Linked DNA regions of Ovis aries. The protein of the gene in region 2 interacts with the protein of the main gene of each other region in a pairwise test. Links are inferred from orthologs where the notes say so. Each region holds a gene or a part of one and is shown on either strand. Other genes may lie near its edges.

Region 1 (4,481 bases), on a different chromosome or scaffold from region 2:
AGAATATAAGAATATATATATTCAGACTCTTTTTTCCTTACAAGTTATTATAAAATATCAAGTTTAGTTTTCTGTGCTATATAATAGGTCCTTGCTAGTTATCTGTTGTATACATAGCCACATGTATGTTAATTCTAAACTCACGTGAAACTGATTCTGGCTGATTCCAAAGTCCTGGGTGTTCCCTGGCCTGGGATGATAATGATGATGATAACTGCAGACACTTAGTATGTGTCCGACATTGTTCTAAAAGAAAAGCTCAACCTGGGCTTCTCATCCCATCAACTTGGATGGGAAAAAAATTATATATTTATTTCCACTGACCTCTAACCAAAATTTACCATCTCCTTCTTTATAGATTGAAGTATTAGCAGTATCTGTGGTTTTTGCCACCAGTAGATATCAAATTGTAGTTATCACAAGTATCTCAAAACGTTACTTATGCTCATTAAAGATTTCAAAATGCTGATAGTTATTAACCCACTGCTAAGTCACACTCTTTCAGACGCTCCTAAAACAGAGCTGCCATTGACTGTGGCCAGTAGAGGGTTAGTGGCCAAATGGTGAATCCACCTGCTCTTGCGTTATGACTCAGATTCTCAGTCTCTCACACGCCCTATCTGTAGTTGTTTGCTGACCAATAGGTGTGAGGAGGTGAGTCAGAGACCACCCCCACAATTCAGTGTTATTCATGCTGAGTAACAATACACTGATACCACTAGAAAAGGAAATTTTAATTTGCCAGTCCTGTTAGTGATACATATTAAATACATATTACTATATGTACTGATAAATGCATATTACTATATCATAAATTTGTGGGTTTTAACATATTTTGATAGTAATTGTCCTCGCAATCTTCAGCATTTTGCTTTTAAAAGCAATGTTCTGAGAAAAGGTCTAGGGTTCCCACCAGACCGTCAAAAGGGTCCACAGTGCAAAAAAAAAGAGGGGTCCGGAAACTAGTTCTAAAGGTTTTAGAGCTATTAATTCAGGTACTCCGCACAGCCCTCTGAAGTAAACGCTAATACCCATTCTACAGACAGGGAAATTGAGGCCCGGTGGGTCGGTTTAGGCCTTGTCACACAAGGTAAGAAGCTGCAGCGTTGGGGTTTGGATCCAGGCTGTGGCTTCCTAACCTTCTGTGCCTCGCTGCTGTGATCACTGCTCACTTTTTGGTGAAGGCCGGCCAGCCGGAAGGTCAGGTCGCATCCTGCCATTTGAGGCCAGTTTTGGGCGGGGATCCCAGGCCAGCTCCGAGGTCATCCGTGTCACACACCAGTGGCACCGCCCCCAGGTTTGGGATGCCTGAGGGCGGGCAGGAGATGGAGAGGCCAATGGCTGTGAGAGCGCCTCACCTGGCCTGCTTCCTGGGCCCAGGTATGCTAGTGGCTCCGCCCCCGGCCCTGCCCAGCCCCGCCCCAGGTCGGGGCTCCGGGAGCGGAAATTCCTGCGCGGGCGAGGCGGAGCGGGTGCCGTCCGAGAGGCCGAACTTGACCATGGAGCCAGTGGCGACCTGGACCCCCAGGAAGGTGGCGGCTTGGCTGAGAGGTGGGTGGGGCCGGGGCAGTGCTGGGCCTGAGGGGCCTGGGCCGGGGAGAGCGGAAGCAAGAAGGACCTGCCGAGTTTGTCGGTCGGTTTGTCCGTCCGCAAGTATTTACAGAGCGTCTGCCGTGAACCCGGCGGAAAGATAGTCGAGATGACTCCGGTGGGGTCCCCCGAGGACCTAGAAGGGGTCTGCCTTCCCCTCAATAGCCCAGGCAGTGGTTCTGTAATGAAAACAGAAGGTGTCGCTCCAGCTGACCGCCCGCAGTGTATCTCATCTTCCCTCTGCCCACGGGGCGCAGTGGGCTGTAATTCATCCCACTTTTCAGATGCTGAACACTCTGCACTGAGGCAACAAGTGATCTGCCCAGGCTTTGGACTAGGGCCTGCCCGTGGTGTCTTTTCCCTCCCCCCACCCCGAGGCTCCCAGTGAGAGCAGAAGCCCAGGCCCAACTGGAGGGGGTTGGTACAGCCCCTTCTGAGACCTGCAGGGAGGATGAGCCCAGATGGGTGGGAAAGGGCCCAGAGTGCCAGGGGACTCAGAGAAGTGTAGATGGTCTGCTGTGGAGCCGGGAGCTGGGAGGTGAGGACCACATTCCTCCCACAGGCGGAGCCAGAGTTGGAGGGGGGCAACTGGAGTCATCTGGGGACAGACTCAGGATGACCATCCCCGGGAGGAGCAGGGATTCAGGCCTGGAGTCAGTCTCCCAGATTGAATTCCAGGCCCAGCCCCTCTGCTCATCAGTTCTGTGGCCACAAGTCTCCATTTCCCTATCCACAAAATGGGAAAGGCAGTTCTGATGTCTTGAGGTTGGACCAAATAAGACAATTGTGATGAGGGCCTGGCTCAGCGTCAGGATCTGTTGGGAGGGAGACAACACAGCATATTCACCGAGCATGGGAAGGGAAGTGCCTGAGGCCCACGGCTATGGAGTAAAAGCTCCTGAACTCCTAGTCAAGGGCTCCTGATGGCACACAGGGGATGGGGGAAGAGCTATTGGTCACACACACACACACCGCGTAAAGAACTCTGGCTTGGAATGGCAGGGGTTCCTTCAAAGAGGGAGAAAGCTAACTGTTAACCTCTATGTATGTCTTTTCCCATCTGTAAAATGGGAATAACAATATCTGTACTTTCTAGATTTGGTGAAAAGTGTTAATGTGTATAAAGACCTTTAATTTTTCCTAGCACATAGTATTTATTTTTGAGTGTCTGCCTTATGCCAGGCCTCGGCCAGAATTAGAGATGAACACTTGTTTTAAGGCCCAGTCCTTGCTCGTGTTCGAGTAGGAGAGGTTGGTGCTCTGGTGCAGGGGTCTGTGGAGGCACAGGGGGCAGTGAGTGCAGCAAGAGGCCCCAGCCCAGCCTGGGGAGTTGTGGAAGGCTTCCTGGAGGAAGTTAGATGACCAAGGACATGAGGGAGCTGGAAAAGCAGTTCAGGCAGAAGGAAAGACACCTTCGGGGAGCGTGAAGCAAAAGCAAAAGAGCCTGCCGAGAGCTGCAGGGAGTTAGTGCTCTGGATCTAGAGTGTTGAGCTTGACAGGCTATGCCAAGAGGGGAGACTGGAGAGGCAGGTGGTGGCCGGATCGTACAGGGCCTTGCAGATCATGGTAGAGAGTCTGGCAACACATAGTATGGGGGCTGTTATTGACTGAACCAAGGGAGTTGGTCAAGCGTTTGACATGTGGCATGTCATTTAACAGACATGATTAGAAGTGACGTGTTTTTATTTTCCCCATTTTTTTAGGTGGAAACAGGCACAGAGTAATTCAGTTACTTGCTCAGTTGCTATCACTCAGGTCTCCCTGACTTCAAAGCCACATCAATCATGACTTGCCCAAGCATCAGAACCCCTGCAGGATTTGTTAAAAAACACATTGCCGGGCCCTGCCCCTGAGTTCACGCCACTCGGCTTGCAGGATCTTATTAATAGTTCCCAGACCAGGGATTAAACTCAGGCCCCTGCAGTGAAAGCTCAGAATCCTAACCGTAGTCCCAAATTGACTGTACATTCTATCCCCCAAACTGATTTATAAATAGCTTATACCTTTGGACCACCTTCACCCATTTCCCCCACTCCCTGCTTCTTGCCTCTGGCAATCATCAGTCTGTTCCCTGTTTCTAAGAGTTTGCATTTTTTGGATTCTGTATATGAGATAATACAGTGTTTGTCTTTCTCTGATTGATTTCACTTAGCATAATACCCTCAAGGTCTATCCATGTTGCAAATGGCACGTCCTTCTTCCTGGATGAGTATTTGTGCGTGTGTGCCCGTGTGCGGGTGTGTGACATTTTCTTTACCCATTCATCTGTCAGTGGACACTGAGGTTGTTTCCATGTCCTGCCTGTTTTTCTTTTTTATGGCCACACCGCATGACTCATGGGATCTTAGTTCCCCGACTGGGATCAAACCCAGGCCATGGCAATGAAAGCACTGAATCCTAACCACTGGGCCACCAGGGAATTTCCAGAATTTGCATTTCTAACAAGTCCTCTGATGAGGCTGCTGCTGCTGCTGCTGGTCGGGGGAAGCATCCTTTGAGAACCGCTGTCCTGTGTGATCCTACTTCTCAACTCAGTAGTAGCCTTATCTGTGAAATGGGCAGGACAGAACACAGCCTTGGTCTCAGGGTTGGCATTAGGAGAAGGGCTCTTCCACTGACCGGAAAGGCCTTGACAACCCCCTGGGTCCCCCGCGCTGACCCCTGCTCTCCCTCCAGGCCTGGACGATTCCCTGCAGGACTACTGCTTTGAGGACTGGGAGCTGCCTGGCAAGTACCTGCTACAGCTTTGCCCCCGCAGCCTGGAGGCTCTAACCGTGTGGCCTCTGGGCCACCAGGAGATCATTCTGGAAGGGGTGGAACAGCTTCGGGCGCTGGTGAGTGAATGGCGGCCCAACTGGCTGCAGCTTCCGCCCACCCTGGGGATGCTGATG
Region 2 (4,791 bases):
AGGTGCCGCCCCAACCAGCTCCCCAGCTCCTCTCTACTTCCCCTTTGTCCTTCCTCTTTCCCAGCATATTTTTAGAAATCTGCTCATAGCCCCACTTCCAGGACAGCTGGACCCGCTTCCCCTTTCTAGGGCAGGAGGGGGTGCGATCCGCGGGCCTTGAATCCAGCAAGGGGATCTGGGGTGGGGGGCGGCCAGCAGAGCTACACTCGCCCCAGCCCCTGAGGCCCTGTGCGCCCATCGCATCGTGTGGCTTCCTCCCCAGCCCAGCTGCCTCTATTTTTAACCTGCAGTCTTGCTGCACCAGCCCCACGGCTGCCTTTGGTCACACCGGGGCTTTGTTGCCCAGACCGCTCAGCGTTTCAGCAGACCTGGGGGAGGGGACCTGCGGGTATCAAACACCCACAGCTGGAGGTGGGGAGGCAGCCCCTTCGCCACCATCCCATCCATTGTATGAGTGGGGAAACTGAAACCCACAGAAGGAAGAGGCCCATTGTGACCTCTGGCAGGTTGGTGCAGAGGTGGGATCTGAACCAGGTCGCTTCCCTAGGTCTTGCTGGGATGATGGTGCCCACTTAGAGATGACACACCTGAGCTCAGAGAGGGAAAGTCACCAGGCTGTGAAGGAGCGCCAATAAAGACCCAGTCTAGGTAGCAGAGAAATGACCTTTCTTCCCTTCATTTCCTCCAGGAAGTCCTCCCAGATCGCCCTTGCCCTGGGTGGAAAGTGTCTCCCTCCCAGGCTGCAGGTCTGTGCCCCTCTGCGCATCTGCCCTGGGTCACCGTCCTGCAGGATTTTTCTTCCTCTGCCCCACATGCCAGACCAGCAGCTCCCTCAGGACTGGGCTTGTGGCCTGGTCATTGCTATCTCCAGCATCGCACAGCCCAGGACCTGCACACCAGAGGACTGCTTATTGTATGAACGAATGAATAGGCGAACTGATCAATGGAATCCTCAGATCTCCCAAGAGACTGCCTGCAGTGACTCCGCTGGATCCCTGTCCTTCCAGGACCAGCCTGAAGCAGAGACTCACCTCTTGGCCTCCCTGGGAGGCCCCGCCCCTCCTGTCCCTCCCCCACAGCCCAGGCTAAACTGGGGCTCTCGCTCCTCTCAGATCTTGTCCCTATTCTGCCACTTATTGGCTGCCTGACTTTGAACAATTCCATCCTGTCCTCCAGTTCACCTCTGTGAGCTTCAGTCTCCTGAGGACAATCTCCTTGCGTGGTGGAAACAAACCATCCTAAAGATTTTTGTGTCTGAAGACCCCAGGAATAATGGTGCAAAGACAGGTAGTTGGGGGGCAAGAATTCACTGTCTCCCGTCACCCTCGCAGCTGCTGAGTGACCTTGAGCCTGGCACTGCTCCTCCTGGGGCTCCTCTTGCCCCCCTAGTTGCCACTAAGATGTGTTCACTGAAGACATACACTCCATGAGCCACCGGGCCCCAAAAGCCCCCAGGAGAAGCACAAGGGCTGCGGTGAGAGTGCTGAACAGGCAGCCGGGAGGCGTGGAGTCATCCTGCCTCAGCAAGACTGTGTCCCCCCTTTCGTTCCATGTGTAAATGAGGGCTTCCCAGGTGGCTCAGGGGTAGAGAACCCGCCTGCCAATGCAGGAGACTCAGGAGACATGGGTTCAGTCCCTGGGTTGGGAAGATCCCCTGGAGGAGGACATGGCAGCCCACTCCAATATTCTTGCCTGGGAACATCCCATGGACAGAGAGGAGCCTGGCGGACTACAGTCCATGGGGTCACAAAAGAGTCAGACACGACTTAGCAACTGAGCACACAAGTAAAGGAGGGCTGTTGAAACAGATCAGTGGTTCTCTAACTGTGTTCCCCAGAACCCTTGGGGCAAGGGGAGGCCCAGTGGGCGGGATCAGAATGCTCTGTCTTAGGTTTTGTTTGAAGAAAGGGTTCTGTTGCTAACAGGGTTCATGTCATCTGGACCTGGGGAACTGGACAGCTCCAGGCAGTCTGTCTTCTGGAGTTCCAGGCCATGCTAGAACATTCTGAGATGCAGGGCACAGAGGTTTAGTCCCAATCCTTTCTGCATCACAGATACACAACGCAACACAGCCTGGCCCTGCTCTCATACCAGCTGCTCAGCCTCCTTGCCTGCTTACCAGGCAGACTCTCAGCCACAGCCCCTGCTGCTCAACCCTGCCGGTCCCTTCACTGGCAAAGCTGGTGTCCTCAGCCTCCCCAAAGGCCATCATCGCCCACCAGAGGCCAAACGGGCTGCAGGGTTATTATGTCACCCAGACAGTTATCATCCTCACCAACATCATCATCTTCAACACAAACCACCTTTCTCAATTCCACCTCAGGGCCTTTGCACTGACGATTCCTTTGCCTGGAATGTTCTTTCCCCGGAAACTCACATGGATCACTCCCTTCTCTGCTACAAGTCTCTGCTCAAACAGTGCCTCCTCTTGAGGCCTTCTTGGCCACCCTCTCCCATCTTCCTTATCTCACCTTACTGTCCTTCATCCTGCTTGTCACCGTCTGACAGCACATTCATATATTTACTGTCTGTCTCCTCTGGAGTGTAAGCTCATTAGGGCAGGGGCCATGCCTGCTTGGTTTGCTGGACTCCCAGTACTTGCAACACAGCTTGGCGCCTAGCCTGAGCTCATCAAGGTCTGTCGCCTGCTTCTGCATGTCCCACCTGTGTTATATCTATTTATACATGCTGCTTCCTGTGAGGCAGGCACTATTACCCCCATACTATAGAACAGGAAAGTGAGGCCCAGCCAGGTCGGCCCAGGTGCTTACCTGGGTGGCACAAGTCCATTCTGAAGCCCCTGGGGGAGAGTGGCCTGCGCTCCCGCAGCCCGCTGACCCCGCTGCCACTCGGGCTGCTCAGGCAGGGCTGTGTCACCTCAGACACACCAGGCCCTTTCCCGTTCGCCCCGCCCAGCACAGCCTGGGGAGGAAGTCCTGTCTTGCTGGGGTCTGGTGCGCAGGCTCTTGACGTAGCAGTACTTCCTAAAACCGGCAGAGTTTGAGTGGTAGGGATTCTTTGCATTTCGAGTGTAGGCAAGGGCAGAATAGAGGCAAAGGAGGCAGAAAGAGGGATGAGAGGGTGGGTGAAAAGAGAAAGACGGTGACACAGAGAAACACACACACACAGATGAAGATGCTTACTGGAGGACAGAACCTCCCTGCCTATAAACTTAGGGGCCGTTCAGGGGGTTTCCCTCGTGGTCCAGTGGCTAATATTCCCAGTCCCAATGCAGGGGCCCCAGGTTCAATCCCTGGCCAGGGAACTAGATCCCACAGGCTGCAACTAAAGATTCTGCATGCTGCAATGAAGAACAAAGATCCTGTGAGCAGCAACTAAGACCTAGCACAGCCAAATACATACACAATTTTTTTTAAAAAAAGGATCATCCAACTTAGATGGTCCAAGCTGAGCCCCATCAATTCCATCCCATAAACTCTCCTTCACCAACTCTTCCTTGAGCAAAGAAAAATTAATTCAGTGCTAAGCAGGGCTTTGCCTCCCCTCAATGAAATACCTAGTTTTTTCTCATCTAGGTATCCACTGGGCAATATGCAGCCATGAAATTAAAAGACTCTCACTCCTTGGAAGGAAAGTTATGATCAACCTAGACAGCATATTCAAAAGCAGAGACATTACTTTGCCAACAAAGGTCCATCTAGTCAAGGCTATGGTTTTTTCCAGTGGTCATGTATGGATGTGAGAGTTGGACTGTGAAGAAAGCTGAGCGCTGAAGAATTGGTGCTTTTGAACTGTGGTGTTGGAGAAGACTCTAGAGAGTCCCTTGGACTGCAAGGAGATCCAACCAGTCCATTCTAAAGGAGATCAGTCCTGGGTGTTCTTTGGAAAGACAGATGCTAAAGCTGAAACTCCAGTAGTCTGGCCACCTCATGCGAAAAGTTGACTCATTGGAAAAGACTCTGATGCTGGGAGGGATTGGGGGCAGGAGGAGAAGGGGATGACAGAGGATGAGATGGCTGGATGGCATCACTGACTCGATGGACAGGAGTTTGGGTGAATTCTGGGAGTTGGCGATGGACAGGGAGGCCTGGTGTGCTGCGATTCATGGGATCGCAAAGAGTCTGATACGACTGAGCGACTGAACTGAACTGGGCAATATGTTCAGTTTCCCTTTTCCCCCAGCCTGCTAGGAAGCTCCATCAAATCCGAAGCTCTTTTACAGCTGCTCTGTTGTCACACACAGACTTTGAGGCCAGACTCAGCAGTGAGACTCACCCCTGCCATTCAGGACCCGTGGGAACTTGAGTGAGTCATTTATCTGCCATGAACCTCAGTTTACTTAACTATAAAAGGGGTATAATAATCCTTTTCAAAAGCAGAGGCATTACTTTGCTGACTAAGGTCTATCTAGTCAAGGCTATGGTTTTTCCTGTGGTCATGTATGGATGTGAGAGTTGGACTGTGAAGAAGGCTGAGCGCCAAAGAATTGATGCTTTTGAACTGTGGCGTTGGAGAAGACTCTTGAGAGTCCCTTGGACTGCAAGGAGATCCAACCAGTCCATTCTGAAGGAGATCAGCCCTGGGATTTCTTTTGGAAGGAATGATGCTAAAGCTGAAACTCCAGTACTTTGGCCACCTCATATGAAGAGTTGGCTCATTGGAAAAGACTCTGATGCTGGGAGGGATTGGGGGCAGGAGGAGAAGGGGACGACAGAGGATGAGATGGCTGGATGGCATCACGGACTTGATGGACGTGAGTCTGAGTGAACTCCAGGAGATGGTGATGGACAGGGAGGCCTGGTGTGCTGTGATTCATGGGGTCGCAAAGAG
Region 3 (4,672 bases), on a different chromosome or scaffold from region 2:
AGGAACACAGTAGTTATTGTTAAAATCAGCTGCACTAGATACAATTTGAAAATATCCAGCACCAGGTTAATTCCAATAATGAACCCAATAGATTAGTTAATGCTATGAGAAGACTAAAGAGAAAGAGAAAAGAGACACAGACCCAGGCCTGGCTCCACATGCTACTAACTACCAGCTCTCAGATGTGTCACTGGGAACAATACACACTCCATGCGTTTTGCTACATCTCCAGAAGAGGTAAGGACTTGAGTCCACACGGGGATGCTCGCTTGCAAGTCCTTGAGGCCCACAGCCTGGTGTGTTTCACGCACAGATAAGGTCCTCCCTAGGTCTACGGGAACCCTCGAGGGAAGACGTGTTTCTCCTCTCTGTATTGCGCCAACTCAGGCAGTGGCCACGTGCACGCCCACTGCCTCCCCTCTCTGCCCGCTCACAGGGCCAGCAGTGTGGGTGAGCTGAGCGAGTCAGAGGAAGGCTCGTTGCTGCTGCTGCCCTTGCGGTGGGCAGCCGCACAGCTGGGGAAGGAGTCAGCCTCGGGGTAGGTGAAGACGAAGGAAGACGTGTAAGTAGTGCAGCTGGGAGTACAGGTGACCACTGGGGTGCACAGGGGCTCCAGCTCCGTGGCCATTGGCCCCATCCCCAGGGAGCCACCATGCAGGGGCTCCCAGTCTGCTGCATAGAAGGAACCAGACAGGTCCATGTCTGGCACAGAGCGGGCGGTCTCCGAGCCGCTGGGCCTGGATGACACTGGGAACATGAAGTCATCAAAGGGCTCAGCCTTCAGCTCCATGCTGCCGACACTCTTGACGGGCTCCACTGAGGGCTTGGGCTCAGGGTCATTGAGGAGGGGCAGGGTGAAGGCCTCCTCAGATTCAGGGGTGGCAGCCTCAGGCAGGCCCCCACTCAGATCAAGGGAAGCCACAGACATCTCTTCTGGGAAGCCCAGGTCGTCAGGGATCTTGCAGGCAGGTCGGTGAGCCGCTAGGATGAACTCAAGTTTTTCCTTCTCCTTCAGCAGATTGGCAATCTCTGTCTGCAAAGCCGACTTCTCATCTTCTAGTTGGTCTGTCTCCTGGAAAGAGAGAGCAAAGGAAAGCATAAGAGATGGTCTGACTCAAGGACACAGATCCCTTTTGTCTGGTCTCCAAGTTTCCCCTTAAGTTTTAAAAAGAAGTGACCCATGGGTTCAACCTACCGCTTGGAGGGTGTCAGTCAGCTCTCTCCTCCGGTTCCGGCATTTGGCTGCAGCCATCTTATTCCTTTCCCTTCGGATTCTCCTTTTCTCTTCTTCTTCTGGGGACAACTGGGGAGGGGAAAAAAGAGCAGCATTCAGTAACAGTGTCTGCCATTAGCTTCATTCACCCACCCCAGGGAAACCAGCTCCTGCAGCTTCCTAGCTCCTGGCACCTCTTCTGTGAAGCCATTTCTAACCTGCAGTTGCAAGCTGGGTGTGACTTGCATTTAAAATAAGAATCTCAGAAAGAGCCAAGAAGAACCCAGACTACAAGGGAAGAAACTATACATCAGGGCATTTCTTAGGGTGAGACTATCAGAGTCTGACTTGGATGGAAAGGGCTTGGAGCCAGGGATTCCCATTTGGGGTGTCCAGTCAATGCATCAGTGGCTTCACTCTGACCCCTATGCTGCCCATCTCCACAATGTCGACCCGCGCCTCCCCCTCAGAAGGTGCCAAGAACTCTCACCTGTTCTACCTTGCCCCTCCGGCCAATGCTCTGAGCTCTGCCTCCCGTCATGGTTTTCATAACTCCGGCCCTGGAGTAAGCCCCAGCTGAGGGAGTAGGGACTCCATAGGGGTGGGGGGCTCTGGTCTGGGACGGGGCCACGGAGGAGACCAGGGTGGGCTGCACTAGCCATTGTAGGTCAGGGCTGGTCGAGATGGCAGTCACTGTTGGGATGAAGTTGGCACTGGAAACGGCCAGATCGGTGCAGTAGTCCTAGAATGAAAGAGGAGGAAACTGACGTGAGCGAGCAGGTGGGGATGAGCAGAGTTCCCAGTGCCGCAGGCAGCAGGGAGAGAGGCAGGAGAAGCCCTCCGGCAGTGGACAGCTCGCGTCTTTATACACGCCGGTCAACGGGAATGAAAGGTCTCCCCGCTTTATTCCCAAGAATTCCGCAGCGCAGTGCCTTTCTCCTCCATCCTGCTGCTGCGTTCCCGTTATCCCTTCAGCATCACTCTCTTGAAAGGGGGTTTGTTATAAATATCTCTGACGTCCGCGCTGACGCAGGCGCCGCTCCGGAGTCTCCTGAATGAACTCGCTTTTTATCAATGAAACTGCCTTACACACCCGCCTGCTTCACCCTCCTCCCCTACCCCTCCTTTCCTGCTCCAGGCTGCGAGGGGAGGGGTGGCGGAGGGGGGGGGGGGTGTGGATTGCCGCTTTGGGCCGCCTCCCCCCGGAGGCGCCAGGCTCTACTTCGCTAGTCTTTTGCTTTGGGACATTTTGGCCCCAGCTAATGTCAGAGATCAGTCAGCGAGCGCGCGCCGGGGGGCACAGCTCAGAAAGAGACTGCCGCGGGACAGAAGAAGCAATTCTTCTGATGACAAGCTCGCGGGCCGCTCCGAACAAAGTTCGGAAAAGCTCCCGAGAGAGGGAGGCTCCGGGCCGCGGCAAGCCTCCCTCCCTGCCCCCGGCGAAAGGAGTCCCGGACTCGTCTTCCCGAGCATCTCGCCTTGGTGATTCCTCTCCGGTGACCCCTCCACCCCCCGGCCCCGCGGAGGCGCGGAGCCAGCCTCACCTGCGCATTGACGGGAGAACCCATGCTGGAGAAGGAGTCGGCCGGTGAATGGTAGTAGGAGAGACTGTCCCCGGCCGGGGAGGCGCTGCTGCAGCGGGAGGAGGACGCCTCGTAGTCGGCGTTGAAGCCAGAGAACATCATGATCGCGAGCAGTCAAAGCCGGGCGAGGGGCGCAGAGGCGGAGGCAGGTGCGAGCTGCCGGGCAGAGCTGGGTAGGTGTGCGCGGTCGCTCGCTAGCTCGCTCGCTGCGCCGCAGGCTCTGTGTCAGCTCCTTAAGCTTGCTCGCTGCAGATGCGGTTGGAGTACTAGGCGCCGCAGCCACCGCTTTTATAACAGCATTTTATGAATGAGCCCAACACGTCACTGGGCGCAACCATTGCGGCTCCCGAGGGGTGGCGCACGGGCCCGGCTACTTCTAGGGTCCCCATTTGCCGCCTCCGCCGCCCTCGCAGCGCCCCCAGTTCCCCGCGCTGTCGAGTTTCTTGATCTTGTCGGCCTGTCTTCCCGTGGTTCCTAGGGTCGCGTGGAGCTGCCGAGATAAGGGGCCGCGGGGATGGATCCCCCCACGACTGCAGCGGACGGCCGTGGAAACCTGCTGACGCAGATGTCCTAATATGGACATCCTGTGTAAAGGGGAGGGAGGGATTGACGGGAACTGCTCGCGGGCTGCAGCCAACACCGAGGGTGCAGCGCCGGGGGGAGGCGGGGGCCGCGGCCGGGGGGAGGGGAGGCGAAGGCGAGCGAACATTCGCACCTGGTTCAATGCGGACCCTTGTTCCGGGGCTGGGGGAGGATGGGGTTGGCGAAGGCGGGGACGCCCTTTTACTTCTATACGGAAACCCGGGAAAGAGTTATGAGGCTCAGGTTATAGGCGACATAGGTACACGCAGCCAAGCAGGTTAAGCCTCGGCCCCCGAAGGAATGCGCCTCTACCCTCACTCCCCATTCTAGCCCTAATTCAGTGCAAGCTCTGGAAACGGACCCTCAACCCCTCACCTCAAGCTCCCCGGACTCCAGCTTTACTAGGATTGTTCCTGCGGTTTGGAAGGATCCAAAATAAGACAATACGATAACCTACTTTATCTACGATGCTGGGTACTTTTTATTCTATATGTTTTGTTTGTTTGTTTTGCTTTTAAGGAGATAGGCGCTTTGTTTTTGCTGTTTTTTTTTTTTTTTCTTGGCCGTAGATGAGATGTTACTGTTGCTGTCAAACCCCTGAGAAACTAGCCAATAAACATCGTGCAGAATCTCTCAACAAGGATGTCTGAAGGATTCGTTTGCCTGGTTCTGAGCTCGGGCCCCGGGGCGTGTTGGGGGGGCGGGGGTTGTTCTGTGGACAAGGTCATCAGTTCGGAGCACCGGATGGAGCGAGCACTTGGGGCAGCACAAGTCCTTGCTGGGGAGGTGGGGGTGGTTCGGCGCCCCAGGAAGCTGGTTATTGGGAGCCCAAAGCCGGTGATTTTCCAGCGCGGACTTGGAAGGGGGAGGGGGGTTGGACCGGGGGCGCCTGGAAGGACCGTGCCCAGCAGCGCCCAGGCCGGAATCTTCGGAGGCTGGTATCTCAGGCACCGCTCGGTGGCCTGGAAAACAGGCCTTTGGGGTGGTGGGGGGGTGCTGGTGGGCAGGTCAAGGTGCTTTGGAGTGCGCTAAGCACCCCCAGACGCCTCTAGCCTCCTGCTCAGATGCAAAGGACAGCCGGGGTCACACTGCCCCCGGCTCAATCTCTGCGCGCCAGCCACCTCCGGGACGCGAAGTCGCAGGTCCCCGCAGAGACACAGGTCCCTATGTCCCTTCCCCCACTCTTCGGGCCGGGGTTGGGGGTTGGGCACAATGGGCACCCGGAGAGGGGCGAGGCGGGATGAGGGCAGCGGGCGGATCCTTTGGGACTCGCGGGGAGCGGGACAGCCGACCT
Region 4 (4,611 bases), on a different chromosome or scaffold from region 2:
AAATAGAAAAGCTTGAAGACAAATAAAACTATCATCAGCTATAAACCAAATTGGTGGTGGTGGTGTAGTCACTAAGTATGTCTGACTCTTGTGACCTCATGGACTGTAGCCTGCCAGGCTTCTCTGACCATGGGATTCCCCAGGCAAGAATACTGGAGTGGGTTGCCATTTCCTTCTCCAGGCGATCTTCCTGACCCAAGAATCGAACCTGGGTCTAGTGCATTGCTGGCAAGTTCTTTACTGACTGAGCTATGCGGGAAGCCCATAAACCAAATTAATTATATGTTAATGTATTAACATATGTACCTCAGTCTTGTTTCTCTGCAGTGTTTTACTTAGCTGAAAGTTGTTTCTTCTTTTTATTAATTTAATCTTAGTATATCACAATATTTCATAAACATCATTATATTGATGGTCTTTTTAATACACTATCATGTATTTAACAATCTTGAAAACTAGGCATATAACATTTATTTTTAATCAATAATTCATGAATCATGCTTATTTTGTGAAATTTAGAAAACAGCAAAAAATAAAGAAAAGATAAATTGGTGATTAACTTTGTAAGTGTGACCATAGAGTTTTAAAAACTGAAGGAAATATGTTGTCAACTGCCATTTGGTAAAGATCTATGAGATGGCAGGCACTATGCCACTGCATTTCTGATCCTTACATGACAGCAGAAAAAGCTCATTTTATTATAATCATCACTTTGAAGGTTCAGAGGTCATAGAGCTAGTAAGTGGTGGATACAGACTTTGAACAGCTGTGTCTAATCCCCAAACTGTTTCCCGACTACATCACACTACCTCCCATCATCACCTCCACTTCACGACTTCTTCCACCGCCACCTCCATCACCACCACTATCATCTCTACCATCACATCTATGGATCTTTACCATCACCTTCACCAACACCTCTCTCCATTATCACCACTTTCAACACTATCTCCATCATCAGCTCTATCATGTCCTCCATCATCCCTCCACCACCACCTCCAGCATCTCCACCACCACCTCCAGCATCTCCATCACCACCTCCAGGATCTCCACCACCACCTCCAGCATCTCCACCACCTCCAGGATCTCTACCACCACCTCCAGCATCTCCACCACCACCTCCAGCATCTCCACCACCACCTCCAGCATCTCCACCACCTCCAGCATCTCCACCACCTCCAGCATCTCCACCACCTCCAGCATCTCCACCACCACCTCCAGCATCTCCACCACCTCCAGCATCTCCACCACCACCTCCAGCATCTCCACCACTTCCATCATCATCATTTTCAGCACACATTTCCATCATCAGCTCCACCACCACCTCCGCATCACCTTCATCATCACTGCTCTACCACTACCTCGACCATCATCTCTACCAGCAGCTCAGACTCTACGTCACCACCACCTTCACCACCACCACTTCCATGCCCCCTGCACCTCCACACAGGCCACCATAATGCCACTCTTAAGGTTCCTTATCATCTCTTTTCTATATACCCTTTCTTCTCTTCCCACCTTCACATTCTCCTCTCCTGCTTCACTCTGACCTTTTCCAACCTAGACTTCCTTATGTGCCTGAGTCATAGAGATAAGGCAAACACTGCCAGACTACACTCATTTTATGAACAATCCCATTCAATCATTCATCCATTGCACAAACACTGACTGAGAGCTTAGTATGGGACAGGCACTGTTCTGAGCACTGAAGAATTCAGTAATTTTTCCCTTTGTAGGATTTTCTTCAATCTCAAAGAGCTTATAGAATTTTCTTCACTCTCACACAGCATTTACCCCATTAAACTTGCTTGAGTTCCCAACTCATTCTGCCTGGCCTCCACAGCAGATGGAAAGCAGAAGTGAACTGCTCAAAAAGGATACGCGAGTAAAAAGGAAAGTCTCAGGCAATAGTCATGAAGTAACTTTTTATCACTTATTGCCACAGCAAGCCACCACAGGAAAGAACTTCCTATTTCCATACTGCTTAATGCAACTTGCCTATAAGAGTTCACACATGGACTGTCTTCAGAGAAGATACTTGAGAAATAAAGAGAGGAGAGGGACGTTTAAAAATAAAGAATAAGTATACCAACAAATATACAAACTGAAGTCCTTTTTCTTCTCACTTGCATGATGTGCGCAGAAGGAAACCTATGTTCTTTCTGTTTCTATTTCCAAGTCAAATTTTAATTAGCTGTAGAGGAATCCGAGTCTGTGTATGACTATACGACGCCTAAGAACACACAGGCCCCTACATACTAATAAATTCCACTACTACAGTCAGTAATGCCTTAGTGACTTATAATCCTGTCTCTTACAATTAAGTTTCTTTCACATATTCACAAGCAAAGAAAACCAAATGTTCTAGACGTCCTGGGTAAAAACCTCTGAACCAACATTACCAAAGTTCCCATTTCATACAGAGATATCTTATCAAGCCTGTCTTTTTATCTAAAAGTAAAATCCCCTCCAGCAGTCTGCATACAAAGGAGGATTCTCTACAAAGAACACACCTTCTCAAAAGAGGCTGGCCCCAGAGTGTTTTCCCAGATGAATTCCTCAGGACCCACACACTTGAGGAACTGAGTTTTTCTAAATCATGGTCTGCAGTCCCAGCAGTTATCAATACAACATCTACTATAGAAATAGAAGAAAGGAGAGTTCACGGTTCTCTCCTTCAAAACTCTAACAGTGTCTGTAGTACTGGACTTCCCAACAGCAAGTTTATGAAGAGCTGAGCAAACATGATATCCCAAGAGTCACATCTTACTCACAGCTCACTATTTTAAAGAGAGTGCCAGAATATCCATTGCTTCACCATCTTGAGATGTCAAGCAATGACTTTATACGTCAGCCAAGGAGTGGTTTTACTTACATGCAATAAAAAGAGAGCAAATCCAAGCACCAGCTCTTTATGCCTGATTTCAGAAAATTCATAATACCCTGAGGTCAAGGTTGAGGATTCCTCCATATGCAGCCACAGTTCAGGCAGCTCCACAGGACGACCATTAGAAGCTGGCCAGAGAAAAGAGCTCTTTCAAAAGAAGAGGAAGTGTCATCTCTACTTCCCCAATCTCATTGTTCTTCCTTCTTATTGTTAATAAGCCTTCCTTGATTCCAAAACACACAACACAATTCATGTAAATTAGTTACGTCCCCTCTGTCAGACTCCATTGATCACTAAACACTATTCAGTATGTTCATTTCCAGGACGCACGTGGGAAACAGTACATCGTTTTGCATTCTCATTTTGGAGGCAAAGATGTTTATTTGCAGGCGAGGGTGGGGTGGGGTGGGGTGAGGTCATTTGCAGAGCTGTTCCTGGTGGGTTTAGTTGAAATCCACATTTTTATCATCAGCCTCTCTTAGGCTCAATGTTCTCTTGCATTTCCCTTCTTTCTCACCTCCTAGTGTTCGGATTACTCCTAAATAGATGACACAGAAAAATGTGCAGAAAGTATCTTATGTTAAAAATAAGTCAGCCTGCCTTTCTCCTACAGCATAATTAATAGATTCTCTAACTTTAAAACTTTCATTTCACATGCTCGAAAAGGCAAATGACAGGGGAAAATTAGGGAGACCGGAACTCACCATCAATAAATGCCTGCCCTCAGACTTCTCGTTTTCAATACCAGCATCTTGTCTCCTTAAACCTTCTTGAGGAAAGAACATAATGTCACTGTACTTATGGCCCACTTTCAATGAAAAGGAATCAAGTCATTTGAAACAGGCTCACGACCATGCAGTTTCCCAAAATGTGGTCACTAGATCCTTAGCACATATATTAGTTATCTATCGCTGTGTAACGGACGACCCCAGCACTTAGAGGCTGAAAACAACAGACACCTATTACGTCTTAGTTTCTGAGTGCCGGGAATCTGGACCCAGCTTAGCTGGAGTCTCCACAAGGTTACAGCCAAGGAGTCAGCAGAGACTGTAATCATCTCAAGGAAAAGAAACGCCTCCAAACTCACCCACGTGATTGTTGGTACGATTCAGTTTCTCAAGGGCAATAGGATTGATGATCTCGATTCAGTGCCAGCTGTTACCCCGTGGGTCTCCCTTCAGTCGGTTCAGGACATGGTGGCTGGCCTCATCAGAGCAAATAAGTGAGAGTGAAGGAGGATGAGAATGAGGAGTCCAGCTCCTCTTAAATCCCCATGTGTCACCTTTTAGACCTGATCACAGGCAATTATGAAGGCTCTCCCTGGAAGGCTTCACAGGGATACTGCCTTCCCCGCACCAGACTTGGTGACAGCAGGACCCCACAGCATCTGAGGGGAGTGGTGGTCAAGGTCCCAGGCTCCCTGTCAGTCCTGCTCTGTGGCATATTTACATTCCAGAGTCATTTTACCTGAGGCCTGGGGGCAGGGTTCTCTTCTGGGGCCTCTGCTAGAGGCCTCATTATGAAGGGGGGTAGGGAAATCCCCATTACTCAGTTAGGGCCAGTCTATTCCTGGCCCTCCTCCCACATACCTACATGCACCTCAGGGGCCATAAAACTGCCAATCTTTTCTTTGGGGGTGGCAAACGGATGGGGAAACAATGGAAAGAGTGACAGACTTTATTTTCTTGGGCTCCAAGATCACTGTGGACAGTGACTCCAGCCAT

What was found.
Region 1: the proteins of CYTH4 (region 2) and CNKSR1 interact in binary tests that used the Homo sapiens proteins (3 or more experiments, as listed by UniProt). The two-hybrid records come from large-scale screens. The link is inferred for Ovis aries from reciprocal best matches to the Homo sapiens genes CYTH4 and CNKSR1.
Region 3: the proteins of CYTH4 (region 2) and FOS interact in a two-hybrid assay, tested with the Homo sapiens proteins (2 studies listed by BioGRID and IntAct). The two-hybrid records come from large-scale screens. The link is inferred for Ovis aries from reciprocal best matches to the Homo sapiens genes CYTH4 and FOS.
Region 4: the proteins of CYTH4 (region 2) and IPCEF1 interact in binary tests that used the Homo sapiens proteins (3 or more experiments, as listed by UniProt). The link is inferred for Ovis aries from reciprocal best matches to the Homo sapiens genes CYTH4 and IPCEF1.

What each region holds. Positions count from the first base shown.
Region 1 is NC_056055.1:240,657,008-240,661,488, reverse strand, and holds the start of CNKSR1 (connector enhancer of kinase suppressor of ras 1), read left to right. Parts: upstream 1-1,460; 5' UTR 1,461-1,499; coding exon 1,500-1,551; intron 1,552-4,266; coding exon 4,267-4,424; intron 4,425-4,481. UniProt on the Homo sapiens protein: May function as an adapter protein or regulator of Ras signaling pathways.
Region 2 is NC_056056.1:181,325,027-181,329,817, reverse strand, and holds the start of CYTH4 (cytohesin-4), read right to left. Parts: upstream 2,876-4,791; 5' UTR 2,791-2,875; coding exon 2,772-2,790; intron 1-2,771. UniProt on the Homo sapiens protein: Promotes guanine-nucleotide exchange on ARF1 and ARF5. Promotes the activation of ARF factors through replacement of GDP with GTP.
Region 3 is NC_056060.1:84,569,839-84,574,510, reverse strand, and holds the start of FOS (protein c-Fos), read right to left. Parts: upstream 3,022-4,672; 5' UTR 2,899-3,021; coding exon 2,758-2,898; intron 1,956-2,757; coding exon 1,704-1,955; intron 1,304-1,703; coding exon 1,196-1,303; intron 1,073-1,195; coding exon 431-1,072; 3' UTR 1-430. UniProt on the Homo sapiens protein: Nuclear phosphoprotein which forms a tight but non-covalently linked complex with the JUN/AP-1 transcription factor. In the heterodimer, FOS and JUN/AP-1 basic regions each seems to interact with symmetrical DNA half sites.
Region 4 is NC_056061.1:78,802,131-78,806,741, forward strand, and holds the start of IPCEF1 (interactor protein for cytohesin exchange factors 1), read right to left. Parts: upstream 3,022-4,611; 5' UTR 2,876-3,021; intron 1-2,875. UniProt on the Homo sapiens protein: Enhances the promotion of guanine-nucleotide exchange by PSCD2 on ARF6 in a concentration-dependent manner.